Notamacropus eugenii: one gene and its partners. The protein of the gene in region 4 purifies or fractionates together with the protein of the main gene of each other region. This does not show direct contact. Links are inferred from orthologs where the notes say so. Each region holds a gene or a part of one and is shown on either strand. Other genes may lie near its edges. The genes, in order: EIF3D, EIF3K, EIF4G1 and EIF3B.

Region 1 (6,973 bases), about 93 Mb from region 4:
CAATGACAATTTCATTAGTCCCCATACACAAGTCAAATTGTACATAAAAAGGGGCAAAGTATGGCTGAAAGTGTAAAAATGTCTCTACCATAAAAGCATTCAGATTAACTCCAACTGTGAGGGACCACTTTCACAGAAGCATGTTGCTGAAACCATGATCCACCCCCCTCTGCCTCCCTCCCAGAGGGTGGGGTCTGGGCAGTCCCCACCCTTGCTTGCGTCTCCACCTATCTACAGGCTATGCATTACAACTTCTTACATCCAACCCACTCCTTTGACCCATCTGTGATGGGATGTTCTTGCTACCTGCCACTCTGCTTGGACTCAATCTGTGACTTCAGGGGTAGAGGAGCTCTCAGGTGAGGACACTCCCTCCACTAGCGTAGGCCAGCAAATGTCTCACAACTCAGCTTGCCCAGAGTCACAGAGACTGGCCACTAAGTAAATCAAATACTTATAGACTCCAGAATAAAATCCTTTTTAGTCCTACCTGCAAGGAGCCCGAGAAAGCCCTGAAATGGTAAGCAACTGCCAATGGGCCACTTTTCCCCAAGGAAAGCCTGACTTCAGTAAATGAATGGACCCCAAGCCCCATAAGCCAGGATCTTCAGTAATGCTTGGACCCAATGGCAGGACCCCCAAGATGGTTTGGTCCTAACCTGGGCAAACCTCATCCTATTCCTTTGGTAAGCCGTCTTCTGGGTCCGGGCTGTGTCTACGAGTTGGAAGCTGGTCTCATCCTCCTCATGGAAATAAGCGTATTGACTTCCACCCCCAAACTGGGAGGAATACTTATCTGAAGAGACAACACAGCAAATACTGACTTAGAGCTTCAGGCCCCTCATCTAACGTCTTCTGATGAAGAGACAGACCCGGGGAAGGCAGGACAAAGGGTCATGCAGTGGAACAAATCCTTTTCACATGCTATTTTCCCGAGTTCCCACTTCAGAAAGTCAGTTCAGCAACACTTACTCGTGTACCTCTTATCCTGGTAGGTGGCCCCTGTCCAGTCTGCAACCTAATCAGGATGACAAGGAGGAAGAGAAAACGCACAGGTCAGTGGGTCAAGCCACTGCTGCCTCAGAAATCCCCAGCCAGGGACCAACAGAGCACTCTGGCTAACAAAAGACCAGCCACGGTGCCTTGGGAAGCATCTTGTCTGTCACAATGACTTTCAGAAGGTCATGGCCTGTCTCAGCAGGCATCATCACAAGGAATACGGGTGACCTGGGCTTTTGAGAGAATGAAAACTCCAGCATGTGCTGCCAGCTAGCCTCAGCAGGCTTCACAGATTGGAATCCCTGCAACCTTGAAGTTACCTTTCCCAGCCGATCTCCTTTACTGAAGGGCTGATAGGGCATGTCCCGAAATTGTTCGGGGACTGCACAGGGACCCCAGCCTGAGGGGTTGTCCTGGATCACAGGAGTCATGAATTTTGCCATCTTCTAAAACCTTGAAAAGACAAGCAGATCATTATGGCCAAACCAGGAGATGCTCAAAGGGAAAAGAGCTTTTCCCCACCTCTCAAGTCTGGCTGAACAAACCCAGCCACATATACTCCCATAGGGAGTCACCTCCCCTGTATTCCCTGATTTCAACAACCATTAAAACCAGCAGCACAGGGATTATTATCATCTGATTTTTACAGCCAAAGAAGCCAAGCTTTGAGAAATGACATCTAGGGTCCAACCCACAGCCTAAGAACAAGGATCCTTTCCTGAAGACATCGGTTGCCATTGTTTCAGACTCTCTGTGACCCCATTTGGGATTTTCTCAAAACCACACTAGAGGGATTTCTCATTTTTTTTCTCTAGCTTGTTTGACAGATGAGGAAACTGAGGCAAGCAGGGTGAAGTGACTTGCCCAGAGTCACACAGCTAGGAGGGGTATGAGGCTGCATTTGAATTCAGGTCTCCCTGACTCTGGGTTTAGCTTTGCTGATAAATAACAACGTATCTTTGAGGTGCATTTTTATTTAGGCAATAGGAAACTGGAGGGTGTTAGCATATGCGGACATGGCATGCAAACCTGGACGCTTCCCAGCTAAAGTTGCACCACTGATACATTGTAACACTGCAAATCTTATCATTGTTGTAACACAATTGTCACACTTCTTCACTGACCCAAAGGAGGAGAGGAAGCCCCCCCCAGCACGAGAGGGCCCCCGCCACTGCCCTGGCCCAGGAGCCGGGTCTCTACGGCTGCTGGTAGGCCCAGAGTAAGGGGCTGCACCAAGAACGGACCCTTCCTCCAAGGCGGGGTGGGCCCCAGGGCGGGAAACCCAGTAGTGCCCCAGCTATTTACACGGGGCTTTCCCTCGGGCCGGGGCGTGGTTCTCAGGACCCCCCTCTGCCCCGTGGGTGGGCACGGGTACATAAGTGAAGACCAAGCAGGGGAGGGTCGGGTCACTGCCCGCCTACGGAACCTCAGTCTTCCCGGCTGTAAAGTGGGGCGGGGGCACGGCGCCCGCGGATTTAACAGAAGCTGGTGGCCTGGGATCTCGAAGCACTGCAGGATTAACTCCCGCAATCAGGGCCGGGCCCAGAGACAGCTCTTAAGGTAAGAAGGCCAAGCCCTTCCCACGCCAACTCCCGTACAGGTGGGGAAACTGAGCCCGCAAAGACTACCCGGCGACCAGACCTGAGGCCTGGTCGGGGCCGCTGGCTCCGGGGAGCGCGGGCATCGGGCTCCGCACGTGCCGGGGCTCTCCCGGGCCCCCCGGCCCCGAGGCCGACGCCGCTCACCTGCTCAGGCCCCGGCGGGTCCCGATGGCGACGGATGATTCCAGGCGCAGTACCGGCGCCACCAGCCACTTTCCATGGACCGACCAGGAAGGGACCCGGGGTGCGCGCGCAGCTCCCGGCGCCGTAAAGCGGCGCAGTGCGTCCGGCCTTGTCGTAAAACACTGAGAGAACGCGCCCCTTCGCTCTCTTCGGGTGGGGGAGGTGGAGGGCGGGGCGGAGCCGTACAGCCGTAAAGGGAAGCGGAACCCGGAAATGAGTCCTTGTCTTAAAAGGAGAAAAAGGGAGGCGTGCACACGTTACGTAAACTCCACGTCCGGCGAGGGGGCGGGATCAAGTTTTCGCTTGGAACGTGGCGTGGAGGTGATGATGATTACTATCTTCTCTCTCAGTATCCCATAATACCCCGCGGAAAACTACGACGCGCTAATCTGCCCCTCTGTATCCCATAGTGCCTCGCGTGGCGGGCGGCTCTTTTCTCATGCTCCTCTGTATCCCGCAATGCCCCGCGGCGGCCTCAGTTCTCTGACCCTAGGGGTTATCAAGGCCGGCCAGATAGGGGCGGGGGCGGTGGGGGTTGCCCTTCTCGCTGCCCTTGGTCAGCTGTTGCCTCCACTGCGGTTCATCCTGGCCCTTCTGCCACTTTGTGGATGTTATGATAATTACAACTCCAGCTAGCGTTAATCTGACGTGTGACAAGTGTATGACGTCACGCTGACCGATCCAGGGTCGGGAAATTCTGTGTTCAAATCCCACTGTGGTCACTTTGCACATCGCTCCATCTGCCTCAGTGTCCCCATATGCAAAATGGAGATGCAATAAATCCCTCTGGGGGTGTCTGGGATATAGCAACCAGCGCCCGCCCTGGAAGAGAGGTGGGAATCCACCTGGGAGGGCTGAACGCCCTGGGTTCGAATTCCATGCCTGACCCTTCCAAGCTTTGTGAGCCTGGACAAGTCACAGCCTCTCCTGGCCAACGCCCTTCCAGTTCTTAGGCTGTTTCTATAAGACAGAATCACAGAGATCCTACTTGAGATCATAGGAATCAATCAATTGTCCAATTATCTTTTTTTCAGTCTATCTGACTCTTCATGACCCCATTTGGAGTTTTCTTGGCAAAGAAAGTGAAATTGCTTCTCATTTCCTTCCCCAGCTTATCTTACAGATGAGGAGAGGGCAGCTAGATGATGCAGTGGATAGAGCGCCAGTGCAAGAGTCAGGAGGACCTGAGTTCAAATCTTACCCCAGACACTTGACACTCACTAGCTGTGTGACCTTGGGCAAGTCACTTAACCCCAATTGCCTCATCCTGGGTCATCTTCAGTCATCCTGATGAATATCTGGTCACTGGATTCAGATGGCTCTGGAGGAGAAGTGAGGTTGGTTACCCGCACAATCTTCCCTCACTCAAAACAAAGCCAAGTGCAAGTCATATCATCATTTCTCTGATGGCATGGTCTTCTTTGGCAACAAAGGACGAACACACACACACACACACACACACACACACACACACAGATGAGGAAACTGGGACAAATGGGGTTAAGTGACTTGCTCAGGGTCACACAGCTAGGAAGTGACTGAGGCTGGACTCGAACTCATGAAGATAAGTCTTGAGTCCAGGACTGGTGCTCTAGGCATGATGGTACCCCTACCTGTCCTTTAAGGAGGCTGAGGCTCTGTAGCTGGAATTTGGTGGCAGGCTTTAGGCTGGGGGCTCAGTTCTGATTCAGGAACACTGGAGTTTGTTGATTGCTTCTGATGGCTGATTTCGAGGATGGGGGGGTGGGGTGGAACTTTTCCACAATTACTGAATATCAGAGTTGGATGAATTACCCTATCCTTGTATGTAGACCAGGGGGAGTCTACTTTGGGGATTGTTCCATTTGTTAGGAAGTAGGTGAAATCAGCCTCTTTGGAACATCCCCCCTCTGATGCCCATCCTGCCCTCTGGGGCCAAGCAGGGCATTTCTGACCCCTTCTGCAGGACAGCCTTTCCTTCCTCCCTTTTCAAGCACAAACAATCTCACTTCCTTTCACCTCCCTCTTAGGGTGGGATTTCAAAGCTCTTCATGTCAGTTACCCTCCGGTGGACATGCTCTATAACAATGTCCTTCCTAGAATTTAGCAGATGCCTAGGCTAGAACACCACAGTACAGATTCAGTCTTCTCAGGGCAGAGGACAGAGGTCTGGGAAGCTGCTACACTTGGATCAGCTTTAGTGTGACCTAGACACAGACTAGTGTGGACTGGGCCAAGCTTGCCAGAGGAGAAGGATGTTGACCTAAGTCTCAGGGGAGGGCTCTCAGGAAGACCAGAGGCCCGGGAGTCAGACATAGATGTGTGCCAGGGGCAAGCCAGCACTCGGAGACAGCTAGGGTCAGCAAGGGTTAAAGAGAAGGCAGCTGAGAGGTCTTGATCATCTCCGACACCGTTGTCTTCTTTTGCTTGATTTCAGCCTTTCCCCGAAATTTCCCAGTACCTGTAAGCCTGAGAAAGTCTGGATAGAATCAGGACAAGGATGTGCTGACAAAGTGCCCAGTGGTCTAAGGAGGAAAGAGCCTTAAGGGTTAGTGGTAAAGCTTTTCCTGACCTGGTGTGGGGCATTTCTGACCCGGTCAGTTCTCTGGACACACCCCTTCTCCCCTCTGCCCATCTCCCTGATAATCAGGGCTGCTTGATGCCAGTCCTTCAACCCAAACAAGGGACATGAGGAATGTGGGAATTTCAGGCACCTTAGCAAGGCCAATGGTGTGTGTGTATGTGTGTGTGTGTGTGTGTGTGTGTGTGTGTGTGACAGATCTGAGACTTTACAGTTTATGGGGAACTTTGGAATATATGATGTTATTTAGCATCTTTATGGAGTCATGACCACTTTGTGAGGTGAGGTGCAGAGGAGAGATTTTTGTGTCCATTTTAAAGCTGAAGAAACTGAAGCTCAGAGGTCATAGTTTATAGGCAGCTCATTTGGTCTGCTCCTTTCATGTTACAGGTGGGGAAACTGAGGCTTAGAGGTCATAGTTCATAAGAAGCTTGCTTGGTTTCCTGCTTTCATGTTATAGGTGAGAAAACTGGGGCTCAGAGGCCATAGTTCCTAGGGTGACAATCTAGGGTGGCTAGGGTGGCTCCTCTCATATTCTAGGGCAGGAAACTGAGGCTCCAGGGGTGAAATGAGATGTCCAAGATGGTAGAGGTGGGACAAGAAGCTAGAGATTCTGGGGCCCCAGTTGAGCTTAGCACCATTTCCTTGTTTTACTAATGGGTAACCAGTTCCCTTGTTACACAGATGAGGAAACTGAAGAGAGGCAATGATTTGTGCAAGGTCGTACAAGCAGAATATGGTGAGGCTGGATTCAAAACCAATACCTAGCACATAGTAGGTGCTTTAGTGGTTGATGGAAGGAAACCCAGTCCCTCTGAGTGCAGACCTGTGCTGTCCTCCTTTTAGAGTGCTCACAGAGCCCAGGTGGATGCTCAGATGTAGAAAAATATGGAGAAAGAATATGGAAAGGAGGGCATTGCATCATCCTGCTGCAGTTGGGGGATGGGGAAGGGGCCAAGCAGGGAGAGGAAGGGAAGCCTTTGACTCACCACTCTACCCCTGCCTCCCAGGCTCTTGTCGCCCCAGCAGGTTCTAAAATAGAAAACCTGGGAGGATTCAGGCCTTTAAGAGTCTCGGGATGAAAGGCATGCCATCCATTCAGAGTCTCTGGTATTCATAATCATTTTTTATTTCAATTGAATGTAGACTCAGTCATCACAGGACCAGTTCTCAGAATAGAGAGGTAGGGACCTGTTGAATCAGCCAGCCCACTTCCTGCCACCCTCGGGCATCGCTCCAAGTGCTGAGGCATCATCCACTTTCTGCTGGAGCCCAAGATAAATAGAGATTCATGGCCCTGGCTACAAGAGGCAAAACAGATTTCCATTTTCCATCCTTTCCTGCTGCCCTTAGTGCCAAATTACTTTGCTGGTTTGGAACAATCTTGTTGTTTTCTCTCAAATGAACCTTCTCTAAACACTTTCCTTGTCCCTCAGATTTCTCTGTGACAGGCAGCTAGGGGACTGGCTGGATTCCTTATCAGAAGACCTGGGGTCAGTCACATTCTGCCTGGTTGACCTTGCCTTTCCTCATCTGTAAAACTGGAGAATTAGAGTTAGGAAATGATCTCTGAACTCCCTTCTAGCTGGAAGATTCTGGGACAGAAGCTTGTAGATAAGAAAGGACCATT
Region 2 (6,991 bases), on a different chromosome or scaffold from region 4:
CTCTTGCCAATGGGTGCCAGAGGCAGAACTTGAGCCCCCAATACAACAAACTGTATACAAAATAAAAACAAAGAGAAGGGAAGGGGAAAGGAGAGGGAGAAGAGGGAGAGGGGATCAAAAAAGTGTCATCCTCACCTGGAGTACTTCTCTGCAGATGTAGCCAATCTGAAGCTCAGAGAGAGGGCCAGTCACTGCAACAGATCCCCCCCACCCCCACCCCAGGGGTCAGGGGGCTGAGTCACCACTCAGGCAAAGATAGAATGAAAGAGGAGAAAGGGATGGGAAGGGGAAGGGAGCAGAGTTAATCAATCAATCAGTAAACATATATTAATCGCCTATTACAAGAGAGGCACTGTGTTAAGTACTGAGGATACAAAAAGAGATAAGTATCTGTTCTCAAAGAGCTTCCAATCTGGACTGAATAGTACTGAAATAGCACAAGAATGAAGGGGGGATGGGGTGGGGAAGGCTTCCTGTAGATTGTGGAAGGTGAGATTTTAGTTGGGATTAAAGGAAGCCAGGAAGGTCAGTAGTAGGCTGCTTCTCCACCTGGGGAGGGTACCCCCCCCCCCTTCTGCCTCCTTACTGTGGTATATATCTTGGAGTGAGCCAGCGCCACAGAATTCCATGCAGATCCATAACTTCTGAAGCCTGGGGGGGAGGGAGTGAAGGGAAAGGGAGAGGAGGGCAGGGATGGGGTGGGAGTGGGGGGGAGAGGAAGGAATAAAATCAGCCAGAGTAGGTTCAGTCTCAGGGAGGCTAAGAGTTTAGGGGCTTTATCCAGAGAAATGCCTTGGCCATCCATAGTTCTGAGTCTCTTTAGCTTTAGCGAAACCAGGAACTAGATAGAGGGAACATCCGGCCAGTTGGGAGCCTAATTGGGGTGGGGGAGCAGAGGAATCAGGAAAGTTGGTCTGAAGGGTAATAGGGCCACTTTCAGGAGCCAAGGATATGGTGTGAGGGTTAGAGATTCTTTCTGGGAATCCAAAGGGATGTTGCAGAAGGTGAGGATTAAAGAACTGATTGTAGGTTTAGAGAGTTGGTCTGAGTTAGGAAATTGGGGGGGGGGGAGGCATTGAATAATCAGTCTAGGGGTAAGAAAGTCGATCTAGGGGGCTGGGCAGCCAGTCTGAGGGGTCAGGAAGCTGTCGGGGTGGCCCTGACCAGAAGTAGCTGCCATGGTAGGCCACAATGTTGGGGTGTCGACAGGTCCGAACAATGAGGATTTCCCGATGGAGGGTGGTTAGGTCATCATCTGAAGGGAGAGAAAGGGTCAGAATGTGTGTGTGGACACTAGACATCCCAAGGTCAAGGGTTGGGAGGGATGTCAAATCTCAGTCTCACCTGGTTCTATCTTCACCATTTTCAGAGCTGCTAGTTCCCCTGTCACCTTGTCCCGAGCCTGGGGAAGGGAGGGGGTAATGGGGGAGAAGCAGGGAGCAGGAGATACATAAACCCGGAACAAATGAGCAGAATGGTGTACAAATGTCCCCTCTTCCTGGTAACTCAGAGTTCCTCTAAAAGCCCCCAAACCCAAGAGAAGGTCCTGGGATAGAAGGAAGGACAGGAGAGCTGACCTCCGTGACCATCTACCCCAAGCCCTCCTGGAAACACAAATCTCTCCCCACCATCCCCATCCTCAGCCAGTGGTCATCCAGCCTCCAAAGTCAGTGAAAGGGAACTCCCTACCCCAACCCACAGCTCATTTCCATTTTTTAAAAATGCTAATGGTTAGGGTAGCTCTTCCTCAAATTGAACGATAATCCATCTTTCTCACTCTCACTTCCACCTTTAAAGCTAGTTCTTTCCTCCAGAGCTAGGCAGAGTAAATCTAATTTTCTTCCAGCCAGCAGCCATTGGCAATTTTAAACTAAGTCCTTGGGAGCTGGGAGGAAACCTCTGGGGTGATGCTTCCTTCCCTCCACCTCCACAACCAAAGGATTCCAAAGGCCTCCATCATCTTCCTTAGCCTCCTCCCTGTTGCTTCACCTCAGAAGCAAAGTTCAGAATTCTACTCCAAATACTGGACTGGTCCCCCAGACAGGTGGATTGAAGGTCCTAGGGAAGGGGGGAGGAATAGAAGGATGGGGGATGGAAGCTGAGAGGAAGAAGAAGATGAGGCACTTAGGGTGGGGTAGAGACCTTGATTAGGGGGCTATGGAGGGAGGGAGATGAAAGTTCCTGAGTATGAAGGCTAGGAGTAAGGAAAAAATGAAGGGTTTTCGGGAGCTCGTAAGCAAGAGAAATGGAGTTCCTGGGTGGGGGTGGGGGAAGCGAGGGAGGTAGAAGTTCCTGGGTAGGAAAACTGGCAGGGAAAAAAAGATGAAGGACTTGGGGGGAGAAAAGGTGGCCCTGGGAAAAGGCCTTGGGGAGAGGGATATGAGAACCCTAGAGGAGAGGGGGCAAAGGACATGGGCCCCGAGGGGAGGGCCCCTCACCTTGAATACCTCCCCGTAGGTGCCACCCCCCACCCTCTGCAGCAGCTCATAGTGGTCCTGAGGGTCCTTGGTGGCGATGTCCAGGTCTTCGCTGTCCATGCTGGGGATAGGGTGGGGGGAGGCCTTCGGGGAGGGGGAGGGCTGCCTCCTCCTGGGAGCCCTCTGTGAGCGAAGATGCTTGACTCAGCCTGCAGCAGCAGCAGCAGCAGCCGTGGGAGGAGGGCAGGCGGTATGTTCTCCCCTGCCCGCCAGCCGCGAGGGCCCCCACTCTCGCTTCCTGCCCAGGCCTCACTAGGGGGGCCCCTCCCTCTTCACTCCCCCCCCAGCGGGAGAGCCAGGCCCAAGCTGACTTTGTGGCCCCAGGGGACCACAGCACAACTCTGGGGTAAAAGGAGGGGGTTCCTTTTTGCGTTTAGACAGAAAAATCTCTCTAATGTAAATGAGATGCAAATAAGGCCTTATTGGTTTATCGATTCGGTGGGGGACCTTTCCCCTTTCTCCACGCAGGACAGTGAACATAATGGATCCCCAACAGACTAAAGAGAAGCTGGGATGGAAGAAGACAGGGTGGGGAGAGGCACAAGGATGGCGGAGAGGAGAACTCGGAGACCCTGGTCCAGTGAACCAGGCTTTATGGAGAGCCTTGTCTGTCTGGGTTGGAGGTGGGAGCTGACGCGGACAGCCTGGACAGCACCTTGGAGAGCCCCCAGCTCAACCTCTGCCACCGGGTTTGCAGACTGGGCTCCAGAGCAGCAGCGAGCCCGAGAGGCCCCCGGCCCACTGGGCGTGGTTAGGTGCCGGCCCTGAGCTCGGGGCCTGGCCCTTCACGGGTGTTTAAAATGCTGTTGACCCGCTGACCCCGTGCCTTGGCCAGTCACCGGGCAGGGAAGGAGAGACTCTCTTTATGGGAATATGCGTGGGAGAGACGATCGATTAAGCATCTATTAGGCGCCTAAGGCAAACCAGAGTGAGGGAGAGGGAGAGTCGCCGCACCCGTTCTTATTATTCCGGGGACCGGATGGAGGGGAATCGAGTCACTCATTTAGTGACTGCCACCCTTCCCCCGTCTTCCGTCTCCCTGGGGAGAGAATGGTCTGCACTGGGAGACAGTCCACGGGAGGAGGGGCCTTCCTGGAGGAGGGCGCCATGTGTCCGAGGGGACACCAAGGACAGGGGGAAGGCACCAAGGGGTGGGGGACAGGCAAGAGATCGTGTTGGATGTGGAGTCGTGGAAGTCTCATGTGTGCACAAAGTACACGTGCATCCAGGCGCCCCCCTCCCCGGGACACTCGTGGGGTCTCCAGCGCAGCTGCCTCCTGTCACGTGACGAAGCCGGCGAGGAGGGGCAACAATGCAGCAGCTTTGGTCCCGCCCACTCGAGGGGGAGGGGGAGTGAGCGACGCTAGGGGGAGGGGGAGAGGGCGAGAGAGACCCTGGGACGCCTGCGCACTGGCTCCCGAGGGTTTTTTTCCCCACCTCCCTCACCGTGGGTGAGCTCTGTCTGGCCCGCTCTCCGTCGGTGCGAGTGCGCATGCTCCAGAATGGACCGATCCCGGAAGAGGAAGTCACGTGCTACCCGGAAGCAGCCCCCTCCGCCGCCGCCTTTACCTCCGCCTCCCGTTGCGGAAGAAGTTGACGACCATGCGGCCGAAAGTGTCATCGGGGAAGGAGAACTTCCGCCCTCCCCGCCCCTTCCGGTTCCTGTTGCTTCTCCGGACCCGGTCTCGGCGTCTGCGTCTGCTTGTGAAAAGGAGGAGGCCATGGCGCTGTTCGAGCAGATGCGCGCCAACGTGGGGAAGCTGCTCAAGGGCATCGACAGGTGCGGGCAGGCAGGCCTCGGAGGGCTCCGGGGCCGCAGGGGCTGGGCCCGAGGACGGACGGGGAGGGAATTCCCGGGCCGTGCGGTTACGGCTGTGTGGTGTCCAGCAGCCCATCCGCAAGCGCTTACCAAAAAATAGTGTGACCGCCCCTGGCCTCCAGGAGCTCACGGGCCAACCCGGGATAGTAGGTGCCAAATAGATGCCAGCCAATACAAAGTAAAGGGGGGTGTAGGGGAAGAATTCAGGAACTGAGCTTTGAAAGAAACGAGGGATCCCACAAAGTGGGCCCCAGGAGGGAGAGCATGCCAGGGGTGGAGGATAGCCTGGACAAAGGCACGGAGGTGGGAAATGGAGCTCGAGGAACCGCTCAGAATTGTAGAGTGAGGTGGGAGGGGGATGAATGGTATAATGAAGCCGGAAAGGTAAGTTGGGGCCAAGATATGGGGGGGGCTTTAAAAGCCAAAGGGAGGAGTTGGTATTTGGAATTGGCAATCCCCAGCCCCTCTTGTGTAAAATGAAGGGATTGGATCAAATGCCTTCTAAATCTGTGATCCAAGAGACAGAAAGCAGCTTTTTCAGTTGATTGAGTGGATAAGTGACAGGCCTGAAGTTTGGGAAAGTCAGGGAGGCAGCTGTGTGGAGGATGGATCTGACAGGGAGAACCCCGAGGCTGGGAGCTGATTGGGAGGCTGCTGCTTTCCTCCCTGCCTTCTGAGAGCCCACAGTCTAAAGAGGGAGACAGCATGCAAACAACTCTGTAGGAAAAGGATGAGGTGGAGATAATCATAGCCTGGGGGACAGGAAAAGTCTCCTGCCAAGGAGTTAGAGAAAAAACACTTATTAAGCACCTGTGTTCCAAGCCCTATGCTAAGCCCTTTGCAAAAGCATCTCATTTGACCCTCACAGCTGTTTGCTTACTGTTTGTTCTTTGTTCTCAAAGAAGAAGGTGATGATGCTGCGACATACAAGTGAACCAGATTTAAATGAGGCAGGGCTGTGCAAAGTCCACAGCCTTACTTTCTCCTCTGGAGCCATCTGAGTCCAGTGGCCAGATACAGATCAGGACAACTGGAGGTGGCCCAGGATGCAGTGGGGGACCTTGGCCTTTTCAAGCTAAGGTCTTTATCTTGTCCCGGTTTGAGCGAGGCAATGCCTATTCACTAATTAAGGCTTAATAAGAAATGAGGCAAAGAATGACCTCTAAAAAAATAGATCTGGGAGAGGAAGAACCTCAAAGGTTTCTGGCCAAAACAGAAATAATTGCTACCTACATTTATTCTGAGCTTATCAGGGCCCAAACAGTGACCAAGTAGGACTTGGATTAGGACCTATTATTGGCCAATCAGTGAGCACCAGAGTGATTTTGGGGGATAAGGCTGGTCTTTTAATAAGAGAAGAGGAAGAAAAAGTTTCAGAGATTAAAAATTTACCTTCCTTTCAGACAGAGCACCCAAAGATAAGGGTGTGATACCTTATGTGGACTGAGGGAAAGAAGATAAAGACTAGTTGCCCAATTAACTGACCAGTTCCAATTTAGTCTCCAGTGAACAGCTCCTTTTCTCCTCATGGAGTTCTTGAAGAGGACCATGACATCAGGGAGGGGATGCCATTACATGCAAATAAATTGGATTACAGTGAGGGAAGGCTGTGCACAGTCACCAGCCTCACTTCTCCTGAGCCAGCTAGGTCCAGTGACCCAGATACAGATCAGGAAGACTGGAGATAGCCCAGCATTCTCACAGCAGTCCTAAGAAGTAGATACTATTATTGTTCTCGTTTCACAGTTGAGTAAATTGAGGCAGACAACATAGCTAGTGTCTGAGGCAAGGTTTGAATCGATGTCTTACTGACTTGAGGCAGAAACCAGAAGGAAGCCTGGAGGCAAAGATGACAAAGAGAGCCTTCTAGACTTTCAGAGTTTAGAGATGAGAGCAACAGCTAGGAGGCCAAAGAATGGTATAAGATGAAAGGAAAGGCTTTAAAAGCTCAACAGGAGTCTCTCTTTGATCTTGGGGGTGATAGAAGCCCCTAGAGTTTGAATATGGGCCAGATGACTGGTCAGGCCAGTGCTTTAGCAGTTGGGGGGTGGCTGCATGGGAGTAGGAAGAAGCTTGTGGCAGGCAGAAGACACTATGTTGGGTTCGAGGGGTACAAGTAGAAAGAAAGGAGGCTCCTACTCTTCAGGAACTGGAAGGAGGCATCATGTAAGTCTGTCAACATGTGTACCGTCAGTGTTAGTGTAAGGTAGGGCACTGCAGTGGTGGGAGTCAGGGAAAGTTTCATTGTCAGGGCGGTTTGAGCTTGGGGGAGGACGGGTCATGAGGCGGGTGGGGAGCAGAGGCTGGGAGAAGTTGGGACCAGGTAGCAAAGGGCTTTCTGAGTCTCCTTGGCTGGATCTTCATCCAGCTCAGGACTGCTAATAGAAGGGTGACCCCACCAAGGCTGCCTGGGTCTCTGCCTGTCTTCATCTATATTTCACTTGGTGATTCGCTGCCATGGATTAAGTGATCATCTATATTCTGTCAACTCTCCAGTCTACTTATCCAGCCTGCTGACCTCTCTACTCACCTCTCCAGCTGCTTATTGGACCTCTTGACCAGGATGATCCATTTGTTTTTGGTCAGTTGGATCTGACCCGGTGGACCACAGCCCACCAATACTGTCCCGGGGATTTTCTTGGCAAAAACGCTGGCTAGGTTTGCCATTTCTTTCTCCAACAGGTTAAGCAAATAG
Region 3 (7,724 bases), on a different chromosome or scaffold from region 4:
CAGGAGGCTATCTCCCCATCATCCCCCAGGACCCTGTCCCTGCTGCCCCGCCCGTGACTGGGAGACCAGGCTATGGTCCAGGATCAGGCAAGAGGCATTACCTGCAGAGACCTGAATCCTCCCTGAGAGCACATGGGGACAGGAAAGAAGAGAATTATCCCCCAGGTGGCCAGGGATGGAGTGAGGAGAATAGGGAAAGAAGCATCCCTTCTTAGGAGGAAGGAAGCAGGGGAGAAAAAATGGGGCTCCTCTCCCCCATGGGCTAGAGTGGCCACAAGGGACAATGACCAGAGCTACTGCGACCACCAGGAGAAGAGAGGAGACAGAAAAGATGTAAGCTCCATTAGGGCCACCCCAGGTGCACTGCTCCCAGCTCTGTGGGGCTCCCCGTTAGGGGTACCCCCATAACCTAGGCGTGTCTCCTGTGGGCACTCATTATCAAATAATGCACTGAAAAAGAATAAGGGGACACAGGAGAACAAGGATTGGAAGAGATCAGAGGCAGGTGCGAGGAGCCAGGCCCTGACCACTCAACTCTCCTGGTCCTTCCCCAGCCCCCCAAGTCCCAGCTGCCTCCCCACAGACCCTCACCTGGCGGGGCTGAGAAGGCGTGTTCATTTGGGTCGCTGGTGGCGGGTTAAACACCACCGGTGCCGTCTGCCCCGGGGGAAATGCCGGCTATAGAGGGGGAGACCAGAATTCAGCAAGAAGAGAAACTAAGGGGGAATGGAAACCACTGGGGGGAGAACAAAGTGGCTCAAGACAAGACAGCTAACAGAGCTGGGGCTGGCAAGTTCAGTTCCCCCAGAACCAGGAGGCCATGGGCCCCCCCACCAAGACTCCCACTTTGCCTCCCATCTAGGGGCTGGGGAATCCAACTGGAACTTGTTCTCCCCCCCAGCTCAGTTCTGGGCCCAGCCTTTCTCTACAGTCCCCCATTACCTGGGGGAGTCCAGGGGATGGGGCAGGTGGGGGGCCTGTGGGCTGTGGAGCTTTGTTCATTTCATTTGGTGCCACATCAGGGTCCCCCCAGCACCTGTGAAGAGAGGGGGGCGTGTGTTCAAAGAGGCACCAGGGAGGGGATCTAAGGCCTTGAAGCTCAGTCCCTAATAATTAAAGCTAGGGTCTCCCACCTTTGCAGGTTTCCAGACCACAGACAGGAATCTGAGCCCAGCCCCAACTGCCCCTCACTCACCCCCTCGGGAAACAACAAATCCACGCTGTGGCCTACAGGCTCTGGGCATCCGAGGGGCCTAGGATTAGAAGGGGAGGGGGAATCAACCTGGCTCCAGAAGCCTAAGACCAACCGGACCAGAAATTCAAGGTCTCCCTGGCACCATGCTCCAAGAACAAAAAAGGAAGGAACCCCCCCCCCCCCCCCTCCAGGGGATGGTAAGAGACACACCAGAAGATAAATGATTTTTGCCTAAGAAAGCACGTGAAGGACAAAGTGCCAGAGGAAGCCTCGGGGAAGCCAGCTGGGGCCCAGCTGGGCCAAAGTGAGGGTCTGAATTCAGTGGGTGGGTGGGTGTCCTGGACACAGGAGTTCAAAAGAGGTGGTGGTGGTGGTGGGGGGGGGTTTATCAGGAAGAGGTCCAGAACCAGAACTGACACTGGTTCCTACAATGGAGAAGAGAGGGAGAGAGTTTGAAGGGAAGGTCAGGAGGCCTGCCTGGGGTTCCTGAGAGAAGCCCTGAGGACATACTAGTCCTAGGAAAAGGGGAAGAGCAAAGAGACTGGGGGGATAGGGAAAAGGAGAGAGAGGTCAGGCACAGTGGCAGTGGCTGGCACACAGTAGGGGCTAAATAGGAAATTCCTGCTCTTACAAAGGGAGGGGGTGAACGCCCAGCATACTTTAGGGACCAAAAAAGCAGTGCTTGATCTTACATAGCAGAGAACACAGGGGAGGACCCCAGTGCCTGGCACACAGTAGGTGCTAAACAGGAAAAGACTTGCTCTTACGGAGCAGAGGCCAGCAGAGAAATGGGGCTGCATGGCCTGGCACACAGCAGTGACAGATAAGAAGGCTTCTTACAGAGCAGACAGGAGGGAGGGGAAGAGGGTCCCCAAATGCCTGGCACGCGGTGCTTGATCTTACAGAGTAAAGAAGAGAGGCTAGGGCCCAACGCCTGGCACGCAGTAGGTGCTGAACAGCAAAGATTTCTTTACAGAACAAGAGGAAAGAAGGGGCCTTAGTGCCTGGCACACAGGGAGGCTGAGCAGGCAGTGCTTGATCTCACAGAGCCAAGAACACGGAGGGGGGACCCCAATGCCCGCACACAGTAGGTGCAGAACAGGCAACGCTTGCCGGGGGGGCGCGCGGCCCGCACACAGTAGGTGCTGGGCTTCCTCTGGTCGAGCACAGGCTGGAGGAGGGGGCGGCCGGGCCCGCACCCGGGAGAGGCAGAGGAGGGGAGCGGAGAAGGGAGCGGGTCGACCAGCCGGGCCGGGGTCGAGCAAGGCCTAGGCCTGGGCCTGGGCCTGGGCCTGGGGCCGGCCCGGGCTCCTCCCTCCCGAGGCGGCGGCGCCAGAGAACAACGTGTCACTTCCCGCCCCGCCGCCCGCTCGGCCCCGGCCCTGGCCCCGACCCCGACCCCGCGCTCCGCAGGCTCGGCCCCGGCCCCCGGCCCGGCCCCGCGCTCGACCCGGCCGGCGGCCGGCACACGTGGGCTGGCAGGGGGCCGGGCGGGCGGCGGGCCGAGTTGGGCTGAGCGCGAGGCCGGGACCGGCCGGCCCGGAGGGAGGGCGGGCGGCGGGGCGGGGCCGGGCCGCGCTGGGCCCGGCGGCAGCGGGGCCGAGCGGGCGGCCCCGGGCCGGATGGCGGCGGATGCCGGGGGGAGGGGGCCCGGCTCGGGCCCGGACATGGCGCCGTTACCTTCAGTCTCCTTCAGTCCGCGCGGCCGAGCCCCACGCAGCCGCACAGGCGCCGTCCACGACCATTTCCGGCTCCCGCACACCGCTCCGGCTCCGCCGCCGCCTCTTCCCCGAGGCGCAGGCGCAGGCGCAGGCGCAGGCGCGGCCCGGCCTGCCACGTGACTGCCGCGGCGCAGGGGGCTGGGTGGCACCGGCCGGGGCTGGGAGGTGGCCCGCCTGCGGCGTGTGTCGTCATCGCCGTCACGCCGGCGTCCCCCCGCTGCCGCTACGCAGAGTCTTCCCCGCCCCCAGCCGCGGGGGCCCTCGTCGATCACGTGGAGCCCGCCGGGAGGCCAGAAGTTCCACTCTGGCTCAACCGCATTCCTCTGTCGGGGGGGGCCTTCGGAGCCCCTGGGGGCCGCCGCGGACCAGACCCTGCCCTCAGGAGCCACTCCGGGCTGTCGTGCCCCCTCCGCCGGAGGAGGTTGGCGCAGGCTCCCCCAGGGCCCCCAGGTCACGAGGTCCGGGAGCGCCGCATGGATGGAGTGTCCGCGTCCGCGTCCCATCTCCACGTGTGGGCTGAGCGCGGACCGGAGGAGCTGGAGGAACTGCCCCAGCCCGTGCCCACCCAGCGTGATGCCCCCCAGCGGGCCTTGTCCCGTCCCCTCCGTGGCAGAAGGTAAATGGGCTTCTGACCACGAAAATCCCTGGCACCGGCAGGTGGCCAAGCACCCAAAGCTGATGGGATTTTATCAGCGGAAGTGACACGAAAGAACAGGCGCGAGGCCCAGTGAGTCCTGGGGACCGCACCCCCTTTCCTTCCGAAGGACAGCGAGCCCAACGACGTGCTAGCACTGAGACAGCCCCGAGGAAACGCGGGACGCACGATTGGTTCTGGTGGGCCTCGGTGGGGCGCCGAACTTGGCTGTATCACGGTGATGCCATTTGGGCCTCTCCCACGAGTACCCACCAGCTGCCCGTAGGAGGCTGCTGAAGGTCTTTTGGATTGAAAGTTGCGGGGAACTTTTAAGGTCCGAGGAGAGCAGATAATAGCGGAGCATAAGAGAAGGGGTCAGGGAAGGGCAGGGGCAGCCAGGTGGGCTGGCGTTAGGAGGACAGACAGGTACTAGCTGTGTGACCTCGCCCTGTTTGCCTCAGATTCCCAACCCCAGAGGCTTACTCTCCCGGAGGTGGCAGAGGTCAGTAGAGTTGGACTGTAGGGAAAGTCAAGGCTAGGCTGTCCAACAGTGACCAGTAGAAATGGAGACAGGACCAAGAAGCCCAGTTTGCTGCTGGCCCGGTCTCATTCTCTTTAATGTTCTCATCACTTGACCTACACAAAAACACAGCAGGGAACCACAGAGTCAGCAGAAAGGGCCCGGAGGTGGGGGACCATGGATATAGGAGGTAGCCTATCGTGTCCAGCACAAATCCATGTGTTGGCTGATTTTGCTGAGCTCGCACTTAATCTGCTACAGGGCAAGGCTGCCTTGCACCACGGGGAGCAAGAGCAAAAGAGCATCCAGAAAACTTTTCTTAGCTTTATGAAAACGTGAAATTACAGTAAGAAAGTCTCCGCAGCCCATCTGTGCTGATACCCTTGTGAAAGCACACACACAGGCCTAACTCCTAAATACCCAGTGGGCTTTCTTATTCTCCACCACACTAAGAAATGTGGTTATCTAGTTTTTAATTCCACTGCAAATCAATTAGGGAGAACAGCTCCAACAGAGCTACCCACAGATTGACATCCTGAGTGGCGGAACCTCACTGGGATGTAGCCTCCATTTCCATCCCAAGTGGTGAAAATAGATTTCCTGCTCCCCTGAGAGCTTGCGTACAGAAGCTGTAGAAAACACACACACGAACGAAAGTAAGCTCTTTGGAAGGTAGGTAGGAACGATTTCATTTTCCTTTGTATGACCAGTGCCTGCCACACAGTAATGAATTTAATGAATGCTTAGTGACTGATGAGCTAAAGAAATAAACTTTCAATTGTTGAAAAACTTGGTGATCCAGAACATTCCTTCCAGCCTGTGCCCAGGTACCCTCATCCCCAGCTAGCACACCCCAGGAAAAAAGACATTAATGAAACAGAGGGCACAAGGGTCTTTAATTCAACATAGTCATCTCATTCTGTAACAAAAAAAAACAGGAGGGAAACAGCTTCCCCCCAAGGGCTGTTGGAGAGCCACCTCTGGAATAAGGAGTATTGCCTAGTCCCCAGACTCAAGTTAAAATTTAGGGCCCCCAGGGCCACTCAGACATCATAGTTGGGGTTCTTCCTCAAGATTACGAAGCCCTCCAGGATGGGAGTGACAGGCAAAAACTCCTCAGTGGCTAGCTCAGCCCGTTCCCCATGAGCCAGCAACACTGGAGTTGTGTGTGTCTGGAATCCGGTGATGGTCTTGGGCTTCCCAGCCTGGCCCACCACATCGACTGCCTAAAGGATAAAAAATGGAGAAAGAGTCTTAGAGCAGTGAATCCAGTAGCCCTCCTGCCCTGCAGAGGTCCAGAGGAATGGCTGCCGTGTTCCAGCCCCTGAAGATCTCTCACCTGGCCCACACGGACAGATACTGGCAACGGCCGGAGCTCCTCATCAAAGGTGACCAGCATTCGGGGCTGCATGGCAGCCACCAACCCATAGAGCACATAGTGGGACTTGCCCAGAATGACTAAGAATGAAATAGAGAGGGGCAGGTGACCAGCTTTCCTCCATCCACTCCTAAGCTGCCTCAGTGGCTCTAGCTCAGCACCCCCAGCTTTCCCCAACCCACCTCCTCCGTCTCGACGCTCCTCACTCCCCAAACTGCCTTATGCTCCCCAGGGCTGTCATTCTTTCATTCTGCCCACACTCTGCTTGCTCCCCTAACCCTGAGGTCACTCTGCCTGACTCTTGAAAGGTGGGGAAAAGTTACCTAAAACACCAAATACAATGGAATTAATGGCCAGTCCCTCACCCCAGAAGCCAGCCAGTCCCACTGTAGCCCAGCTAAAGGGAGTCAGGCCTGGGCATAAAACAGTACAAGAGTAGCCCAAGAAAAGCACAGCTACGCCCCAAGACCCACCCAATGGTCAGAACCTGAACATCCAGGTATCTCCAAAGGAGCCCTAACATCTTGGGAGAGTTGCCCTGACGCTGAGTCAGCCCTTCTAGGACTTTTCCAAGGGGCACTCACTGTTGCGGACATCGAGGAAGGAGACGAGCACGGTGAGCAGCCCAGCCACAGCAACCTGACTCATAAGCTGCCGATCACTGTGGTAGGGGCAGAGAGTGAGGGTGCCCTTCCCCAAATGTGTCAAGCCCTGTTTAGGATACAGGGAGGGTCAGGACTCCAGCAAGACCAGCCAGCCAGAAAGCCTGATGGTCTAGGCCCAACATGTATACAACCCACCCTGCCCCCACACCTCCAGGTCTCTTAGAGAAGAGCACCCCCCTCACCTGGGCCAAGCGGACCATGAAGAGGTTGTTTGGGTCCTTGGCATGGTACTGGGCTAGCTGGCGCAGCATGGCAGCCAGACGAGCATTGTTGGTACCTGAGAAGATGAAGCAGCAGAGAGGGACTCCTGGGGGCAGGGATGCTACACAGAGTTAGTCATTCCCCAAACCTGGCCCAGATGCCCCCTTGTGCCCAATACCTGCCTTTCTCTGCTGATACTCACCACTGCCCACCATGCCCATGGCAAATATGGAGTTATAGGATACCTCCGGGTCAGCATCATGGGAGAATTTGCTTAAGGTGTCCAAGATGTTGAGCCTTGGGTTGGAGACTGAGATCAAGGCCAATGCCAGAGGTACTGCCCGGCGCAGCGTGGGCTCCCCATACCTAAGCTGTATGGTAGAGGATATAAAAAAAAGTCAGAGGGAGCTCGAAGAGAGAGCTCCCATCCCAGCACCCACAGGCTCTGATCCAAATGTGTGAGGGCCCCTGGGGGCCAACAGGGTAAAGTCAGAAGAGAGGGGCTTGAGCCCTGGCTTTGCCATTTCTTGTCTCTGAGCCTGGGGGGTAATCATTCACCCAAGACAGTAAGTTCCATCTTCTGTAAAATAAGGGAACTGCAATGACTGATAGACTGTGATACATGAATGGAATGGATGTGAGTGAGATGAAGAACTCAAGGAAAAGGGGGAAGAGACAAATAATTTAAAGAGGATCTGAGAGCCCCTGCAAACCCAAACCCTTGACAAAAGCCCTGCTGAGCACAGTATGTAAATAAGAGCAAAACCTGAAAAGCAACTGGGAGAGGAAGAGGTCAAGGGGAAATGAGGAACAAGGCAGTCTGCACTGGGAAACAACCCTGTGGGCTCCGATCCCCAAGCCAACCAAAGAGGTCTGGGGCTTCGCTATAGCCTTTCGCTCTGTTCCAGAATGTGCACGTGAATAGGTATTTGCACCTCACTAAACTAACAAGATTTTGTTATAAATCTAAAAGCACGGGTCTGATCCAGGCTCCTTAGGCTTTTCCCAGTTCCCATCCCTTTTCACCATTGCTGTGTGGCCCAAGGGCGCGCACAGGGCAGAGTGTACACACTTGCGTTCACAATGAAGGCCTCAGTGAGACTGAGACGATGCAACATGGACAAGGGCAGCCAGAAACACCTGGGGATTCATTAGGCCTTTGATTTTGAATTAATTTTTGGTCATTGCGCCATTGGGTCTCAAAGTGCTGGTCTACATGAGTGCCAGAGGGCTTCTCCTGGCCCCTCAACTCACCAAGTGACCAAAGGTCCGGAGCGCCATCTCAGCCCCAATCTCCTCCCCCATGGCGATGAGGGCGATGCCCAACACAGCCACTCCCTGCCGGAGAGAGGAAGGCACAGCAGGTAAGCCATGGAGCCCCGAGAGGCCCCCAGAACCCAGTGCCCCCTC
Region 4 (7,220 bases):
GCACCATGTAAGGTAATATAGAAGCTACTTGTCAACATGGACTGTACCCAACCTCCTTTTTCCAGGAAAAAGTATATTCCCAGAATAAAAAAAAAAAAAGGTTTTTTTTTTTTATCCAGTGGTATAACAACAAATAATAACTGGCATTTATGTAGTATCTCTTATGTGCCAGGCACATTTTACAAATCTTAATCTCATTTAATCTAACACTCCTGTGAAGTAGGTACTGTTATAACCCTAATTTTACAGGTGAGGAAACTGAATTAAACGGAGATTAAGTGACTTACCCAGAGTCACACAACTAGTAGGTTTCTAAGACTGGATTTTAACTCAGGTCTTTCTGACTCCATGTCCAGTTTTGGGCCATCTAGTTAGCTCAATCCAAGGGCTCTGCAGGAGCCAAAATACTTAATTGGATTTTAGTCTTCTCACAGCACCTGGGGAAGGATTCATTTCAGGAGGACAACCTCTAACTGAAATTTTTCTTCAATTATTTAAAAATATCATTCTGAGGAGTCCATAGACTCTATCAGTCTGTCAAAGGGATTCATGACAAAAAAAATCAAGTAAAGTGAGAAGGCAGACAGTGGCTCATAGGATACTTTGGGGATCTGTACAGTAAAGACTTGACTATAATTTCAACCTCAGACACTTATTGTATTACCTGGGGCAAGTCACTTGACTTAGTCCTCTTATCTTTCCACTTTGTATTAGGCGTGGTTTCAACCCCAAGGAACCAGATGCATGCCCCAGTTAGATAACCTCCTCATTTCTTAACTTACCACTATGCTTGTTACCTCAGGCATTAATGGATAGTCACCACCTCCCTCAACCCTTTCTCCCTCTAATTAGAGGACTGGAGGGAGAGTTCAAACTCCCCCAAAGTCTTCCTTTATTTTATTCTTAATTAAAATTTTTTATTGTTTTAGAAAGAGAGATGAAGCCTGTTTGTAAGGTTCCTTTCTGAAAGCATGGTTATCATAATAAATATAAACCTAACAGGCTAGCTTCTCACTTGTGATAATGTTCCAGATCGAGGTTCTTGAGACTATTTGGATAAGATAATAAACTATGTATAAGCATTTGTTCTGAAAGGAAACCATACTCTGGGCGGAAAATGGGGATCAGCAGCATAAAGAAAAAGTTTTTGTAGAAAAAGATAATCCTTTGTGAGGTGTTTAATCAGATCTTTCTCACTTTCATTCATATAAACTTGTTTTTAAAGTATGCTAATATTTAAGATTTTCTACACTTATAGTTAGAAATGTTTATAACTAGCAGTTACGAAATAACCAAGTACTCCCATCAAAACCTAGAAACAAATTGCTGAAACCAACACTTCTTAATCTGATCATAATCAGTTCATGAAGGTTTTGATATTTTTACAGCTTGAATGCCTTTTACTGAAATGGTAAAGGAAAAGCAGATTTTATGTAACATAAGTATATATTTTTTGAACTCTATGGAAATGAGATTTTAAAATCACTTAAGGATATCTTTGAGAGATCAGTTATGTCCATCTTCTATGAGGAAGAACATGCATATCCTGGAGCTCTTTAAAAAATACAATATTCATTAATTAAAAACTATAGCATTAATAAAAATCACTTATATATAGTTCATATATATAGTATACGTTTGGTCTAATAGCAGTGTACTGACAGTGCTCTGAAACAGTATTTCTCTATTAGTTTAAATAGAATGTATTTAAGAAGCAAAGGCTTCCTTTATAGAGGGCTCAAACTGGACTCAGATCATTACCCTCCACAGAACAAGATGCCTCAGTTCAGGGTGCCCTCCCCCCCTTTTCCTTCCTCCTTTTGTGTGCTGTTTCTCCCTTTAGACCATAAAGTCCTTAAGGGCAGGGACTGTCTTTGTTTTTATTAATTGCATCCCCAGACTTGCACAGTGCCTGTACACATCATAGGTGCTTAATAGGTACATAGGTAGTAAGCACCAATGTTTACTGGACTGGCCTTAAGCTGTATGCCTCAGATTCCTCATCTGTGAAATGGGGATAATGACAGCACCTACCTCCCAGAGCTGGGATGAGAATCAAATGAGAATAATTGTAAAGCATTTAGCAGACACTATACAAGATGTTAGCTAGTTTAAGAAAATTATTATGAAAAGCAAATGAAACTGTTGTTGTTCAGATATGTCCAACTCTGTGAGACTTCGTTTCGGATTTTATTGGCAAAAACATTGCAGTGGTTTGCCATTTCCTTCTCCAGCTCATTTTACAGGTGAGGCAAACAGGCTTCATGATTTGCCCAGGGTCACACAGGTACTCATTGTCTGAGGCCAGATTTGACCTCAGGAAGGTGAGTCTTCCCAATTCCAAACTCAAAGCTCTATCCACTGTGCCTCCTAGCTGCCCCCCCCCCCATAAAAGTTATTATTACCATTACGAAGATCAAATGTGATAACTGTAAAGCACTCAGCACAGTGCCTGGCACCCAGGAGGGGCTATGTAAATGTTGTCCATCATTATTACTAGGATCAAAGGAGATAAGTGGAAAGCACAGAGTCTCACACATGGTAAGTTACTTGAATTACTACTGCTGCTGCTACTACCAATACCACTACCATCTTTTTTTTTTTTATCTTTCGATTCCTGTGTAAATTGGATTTAAAGGAGGCAGAGTTGCACGAAGTTGTCAGCCTCACTCTCTCCTCCAGTCATCATAGTCCAGTGGCAGGACAGAGTCAAGTCGGCTGGCAATGGCTCAGGATGCAGTGGCGGCTTTAGTGTCCAACCAAGTTCTAGATGCTCCACAAGGCCTGCTTCATCTGCCTTCATGGCTGTTGGAACAAATTGTTGTCATGCACCCATTCCATCAGAGGAAGTCTTCACATGCTTGGGGTAGGCATCCCCTAACTCACCAATGGATTTGAGGACCCTTGGTTACCCTCAACCTGGTTTGGCCCATCGGCCTAAAGGGTTTACAGGGTGTGGGGGCTGTGCATGCTGCTGCTTCTTGGAGCCACCAGTGAGAATTAGGTGGAACATGTGAGCACCGAAGGTGGAAAGAGGCCCGCCCCCCCCCCCCCCCCCCCCAAAAGGGCTGGCAGCCATCACCAAAAGTACTGGTCCTTCCTGAACACACCCTACACCACCACCACCACCACCACAGGCACTGGGGTAAAAAGCAGACCCCGCCCTCAAGGAGCTCACATTCTTCGACCAGTAAAACTTGCGTCCAAGGTCCCCCCCAAAAGCCCCTCCCCGACCCCTGGGTGGAGGAGCTGCCACACCTGAGATTTCAGCGGGAATGGGAAACTCCGGGAGAGGACACGCCCCCTTAGAGCGCCGATGGGAAGAGAGTAAATGACTTGCCCAAGGCCGTACATCCCCCTCCAGGCTAACCTCCCACGCCACGCGAGACCCTTTGAAAGAGCTCCGTTTCCCTCCCCCCCACTCGACCCACGGCCTCCGCACCACTGTCAGGGTCCCACCCGAGCACGGGAGCCCCAGGTGGGCAGGCTCCAGGGGAGGAGGTCTCTAGTGGGCCGTTCCATTCCGGAGAAACCACCGATTGTGGGGACAAAGCAAGGGATAAAGGCAGCGGCAGGGAGAGTTAGAGAGAGGAATGAGAGTACCCCCACCGATCCAACTACGTCATCGAAGTTAGCAGAATCCTCCGGATGGAGATGGTCAGCTCCTCCGCCCTGCCCAGACTTTCTTTTCCACTTTGGAATGGTCCGTTTCTTTGCCTAGTCAGTAGACCAGTCTAAAGTGTCGGGCGCGGAGGGGGAGTTAGGATTATGACCTAGTAAGTTCTCCGTTTAGAAGTTAATAGAACACTACCTAATAATTTTACTGAACTTTACATTTTCTCTGGAATTGGTTAATAGGTCACATTTCTTTTTCTTTTCTTCTTTCAAGAAAGGAACTTCTGCCTCCCCCTTTTGAGGTTCCCAAATGGTTCAGGCTGTTAACGTAGAGCTTAACGAGACACTACGAGAGTGACTGCCATGTTGGACCGAGCCAAATTGTTTCCCCAAGATGGGGGGGCCCAAAGTTGGAGAGTATTTAATCTAAAGAGTTAGGCGGCATCAACGACAGGAACCCCGCTTCTTGTGCCCGTAATGGAAGTATTCCAGACATTTAAAAACAGGTTTTCGTGGCTCTGAGCTTTTATAGGCAAGCTGTGGCAAACGAGGGCGTGGGACCTTCCCCCTCTCCGTAGGTCCGTTGGTACGGTCCTTCCCCCAGGTTGGGCGCACATGGCTTGGGAGTAGGAGCCGGCGGGCCCCGCGGTGGCAGCTGGTAGAGTCGGAAGTTTGGTGGCGGGGAAACCAGGGGAGCAGCGAGAGCTGAGCGGCGGCGCCAAGGCCCATGCAGGACGCGGAGAACGTGGCGGTGCCCGAAGCGGCCGAGCAGCGGGCTGAGCCAGAGCAGCAGGCCGCCGAGGAAGAACCGGAGAGGCCTGCGGGGCCCGGGCCTCAGGAGGCGGCAGCTGCCGCCTCCGTGCTCGTGCCCGAGGAGAAGGGGGAAAAGGACGCCGCCGGGGTGACGGTGACCAAGCCCGGGTCGGAGCCCGAGGCAATCGCGAAGCTTCCTGCGGTAGAGAAGGCCTCTGCTGAACCGGCCTCGGCCGGGTCGCCACCGTCGTCGTCCCCACCTCCAGGGGAGCCGCAGCTGCCCGAGAAGGTTCCCGAGCCCAAGGCGGAGCCGCCGGCGGCTAAGGAGGAGACGCGGGAGGAGAAGGAAAAGGCGGAGGACAGAGGAGGGAAAGAGGAGGAAGAGGAGAAAGAGAAGGAGGAGGCTGGGGGCGAGAAGGAAGACCAGGGCAAAGAGGCGGAGGCCGAGCCTCGGCGCCTGGAGAATGGCAACGAGGAGGACGAGATCTCCTTCAGCGACCCCGAAGGCTTCGTGGACGACATCAGCGAGGATGGTGAGAGCCGGGGCTTGGGGTGGGGGACGATGGAGAGGGCAGGGACCCCCAGGGAAGGGAGGACCGGTCCCCCGCCTCGAGATAAGAAACTGCTTTTTTCCCCTGAGTCTGGAATGGTCACATAATAACAATAGTCTCTATTTATCTTTCCTGACTACCACCCAGGGTGCCGAAGAATTATCACGAGACGAGGAAACTGAGGCATGTAAATGACCTACCAAAGGTTGCAAAGAGCTCTCTTTTTGTGCTTTGGACTCCTTTGGCAGTCTGGTGAAACTAAGACATTGTGTTTCCTAAGGTGGTAAAAGGAAACTGATCATGCTGAAGTAGTGGTCAATTTCACTTTTTTAGATACCAGTTTCAGAGGTGTAAGGTCTAGAGCCAGGATTTGAACCTGACTTCGTTTCACTCCATCATGTCTTTTTCTCTACTTATTCGTTGATTCAGATTTCTGTTGGTGGAGAAACTGTATATATTATGTACAATGAATGAATAGGACAGGTTGGGGGATGGGATGGGATGGGGTAGGGAGAAGAGTCTTGAAGACCTGAAGGCGTTACTTTTCGTGTCTGAGCCTCAGTTTCCTCACTTGTTAGATAAGAATAGTTTCATCACCTTCAGAGTGGTGAGTATCAAAATCATGCATATGAAATACTTTTCCCAGTTCTTTAAGTTCTATAGAAATGGGAGCTTTATTCTATGTTGTAATTTTCTTCTCATTTTTGTGAGAAAAGGAAGAGAAAGAGATCTTTAAAAATACTGCTGGTCTCTACAGGTTTGAGTCAAAAATGTCCAAAATATAGTAGATCAGTGTTCCAGGAATTTATTTTGTTTTACAAAAAAGATTAAATACCTTAATGTGTTTTACTCACAGGACCCTGACTCCAAGGTCTGTGGGTGAGGTTGCCACTTCTTTCAGATAACTAGGAATATTTGCTGTACTGTATTTTAGTCTCTGGGTTTTAAAACAGATGCTTCTTTTTCAGGGAACCTCAGAACAGGTCCAACTTTATAACTTAATTTCCCCTTCCATTTAATTAAGCTTTTAATTGATACACAGCCCACTAATCTTAGATTTTCCTATAACTGATGGGGGTTAGAGTTAGTTGTAAAGGGGCAGCAAGCTGTCAGCATCTGTCTAGGTGATCTGCTTCTCCATTTTTAAACTCCGTAAATGATGTGTGATGTAATAATAATTTGTATTCATGTAGAATTTTATGCTTTCTTTAATATAAATTTGAGAGTTACAAAAATACAGGTACAAATATTCCCATTTTACAGGTGAGGAAACTTGCAGTAGAGAACAGATTATAAAGAAAGGAAAGAGGATTTGAGTTTAGATTCCACCTATAATTTGTGTTTTGTTTTTTTTTTTGTACCTTGAGTAAATTATTGCACCCTTCAGGGTTTTAGTTTCTTTATTCATCAAAATGAGGAGTTTGGACCAAATGGCTCCTGAAGTCTTTTTCAGCTCTAGATCTATGATTCTGTGCAGTGGGTTCCAATCCCAAATCGGCCAATAAAATAATTCGTTTGATGTGAGGTAACTTTGCCTCCATGGGCTTCAGTTTCATTATTTCTGAGATCCCTTCCAGCAGTTAATCTATGATGGGAGATTATCAAATTCAGTCTCATTTTTTTTCTTATTGAACAGCTTTTAATTTTTTTTGTTACTTTTTCCAGTTAACAAGCTTTTATTTTCTTTTCTGCCTTCCCCCAGGTAAAAAAAAAAAAAGAAAGAAAATCAAAACTTAATAGCATGCATAGCCAAGCAAAATAAATTCCCACATTGGTCATGTCTAAAAGATGGATGTATCTGTATTTTAAGTCGAACACACATCTCTTCATCTTTGGATCTTTGGAATTTCTATTTGTCATTATATTTGTTAGAGTTCTAAAGCCTTTCAAAGTTGTTTTTCTTTATAATCTGACACCTTCATTTTATAGCTGAGGAAAGTGATATGCAAAAAGGTTAAATGGCTTCCTCAGAGTCACTTAATTAGTAGCAGAAATGGAATTGAGACTCATAGCTTCTGTTCCTTAAATCTATCACTCTTTTATCACACTGACTAAAATTAAAAGTAATAATCAACTCTTTTTTAGAAATACATAATAAAAGAAAATAGAATGTACAAAATTGTTGATATAAATTAAAAATAATAGTGGATTATGATTGACCATTCATTGAATTAAAACTAAAAAACATAATTTTAGTTCCATAGTAGTGGTGCTGCAATTGAAATGTATCAAAAGGGAATTCTTCATAATACATTTTTAATGTTCATGAATTAATTCAGGGTATACATATAGTTTGACAAA

What was found.
Region 1: the proteins of EIF3B (region 4) and EIF3D purify together in Homo sapiens (affinity purification with mass spectrometry; 10 studies listed by BioGRID and IntAct, with this or other methods). This does not show direct contact. The link is inferred for Notamacropus eugenii from reciprocal best matches to the Homo sapiens genes EIF3B and EIF3D.
Region 2: the proteins of EIF3B (region 4) and EIF3K purify together in Homo sapiens (affinity purification with mass spectrometry; 7 studies listed by BioGRID and IntAct, with this or other methods). This does not show direct contact. The link is inferred for Notamacropus eugenii from reciprocal best matches to the Homo sapiens genes EIF3B and EIF3K.
Region 3: the proteins of EIF3B (region 4) and EIF4G1 purify together in Homo sapiens (affinity purification with western blotting; 7 studies listed by BioGRID and IntAct, with this or other methods). This does not show direct contact. The link is inferred for Notamacropus eugenii from reciprocal best matches to the Homo sapiens genes EIF3B and EIF4G1.

What each region holds. Positions count from the first base shown.
Region 1 is NC_092874.1:293,568,202-293,575,174, forward strand, and holds the start of EIF3D (eukaryotic translation initiation factor 3 subunit D), read right to left. Parts: upstream 3,017-6,973; 5' UTR 2,745-3,016; intron 1,453-2,744; 5' UTR 1,443-1,452; coding exon 1,320-1,442; intron 1,019-1,319; coding exon 973-1,018; intron 797-972; coding exon 660-796; intron 1-659. UniProt on the Homo sapiens protein: mRNA cap-binding component of the eukaryotic translation initiation factor 3 (eIF-3) complex, a complex required for several steps in the initiation of protein synthesis of a specialized repertoire of mRNAs.
Region 2 is NC_092876.1:31,814,500-31,821,490, forward strand, and holds the start of EIF3K (eukaryotic translation initiation factor 3 subunit K), read left to right. Parts: upstream 1-3,979; coding exon 3,980-4,257; intron 4,258-6,991. Other genes in the region: MAP4K1 (mitogen-activated protein kinase kinase kinase kinase 1), read right to left, coding at 136-191, 587-651, 1,165-1,255, 1,345-1,402, 2,439-2,537. UniProt on the Homo sapiens protein: Component of the eukaryotic translation initiation factor 3 (eIF-3) complex, which is required for several steps in the initiation of protein synthesis.
Region 3 is NC_092873.1:57,030,769-57,038,492, forward strand, and holds the start of EIF4G1 (eukaryotic translation initiation factor 4 gamma 1), read right to left. Parts: upstream 3,003-7,724; 5' UTR 2,876-3,002; intron 1,254-2,875; 5' UTR 1,196-1,253; intron 1,037-1,195; 5' UTR 1,003-1,036; coding exon 943-1,002; intron 679-942; coding exon 592-678; intron 273-591; exon of another isoform or gene 135-272; coding exon of another isoform or gene 102-134; intron 1-101. Other genes in the region: PSMD2 (26S proteasome non-ATPase regulatory subunit 2), read right to left, coding at 5,114-5,296, 5,410-5,528, 6,033-6,159, 6,296-6,390, 6,517-6,685, 7,569-7,652.
Region 4 is NC_092874.1:386,499,667-386,506,886, reverse strand, and holds the start of EIF3B (eukaryotic translation initiation factor 3 subunit B), read left to right. Parts: upstream 1-4,205; 5' UTR 4,206-4,342; coding exon 4,343-4,901; intron 4,902-7,220.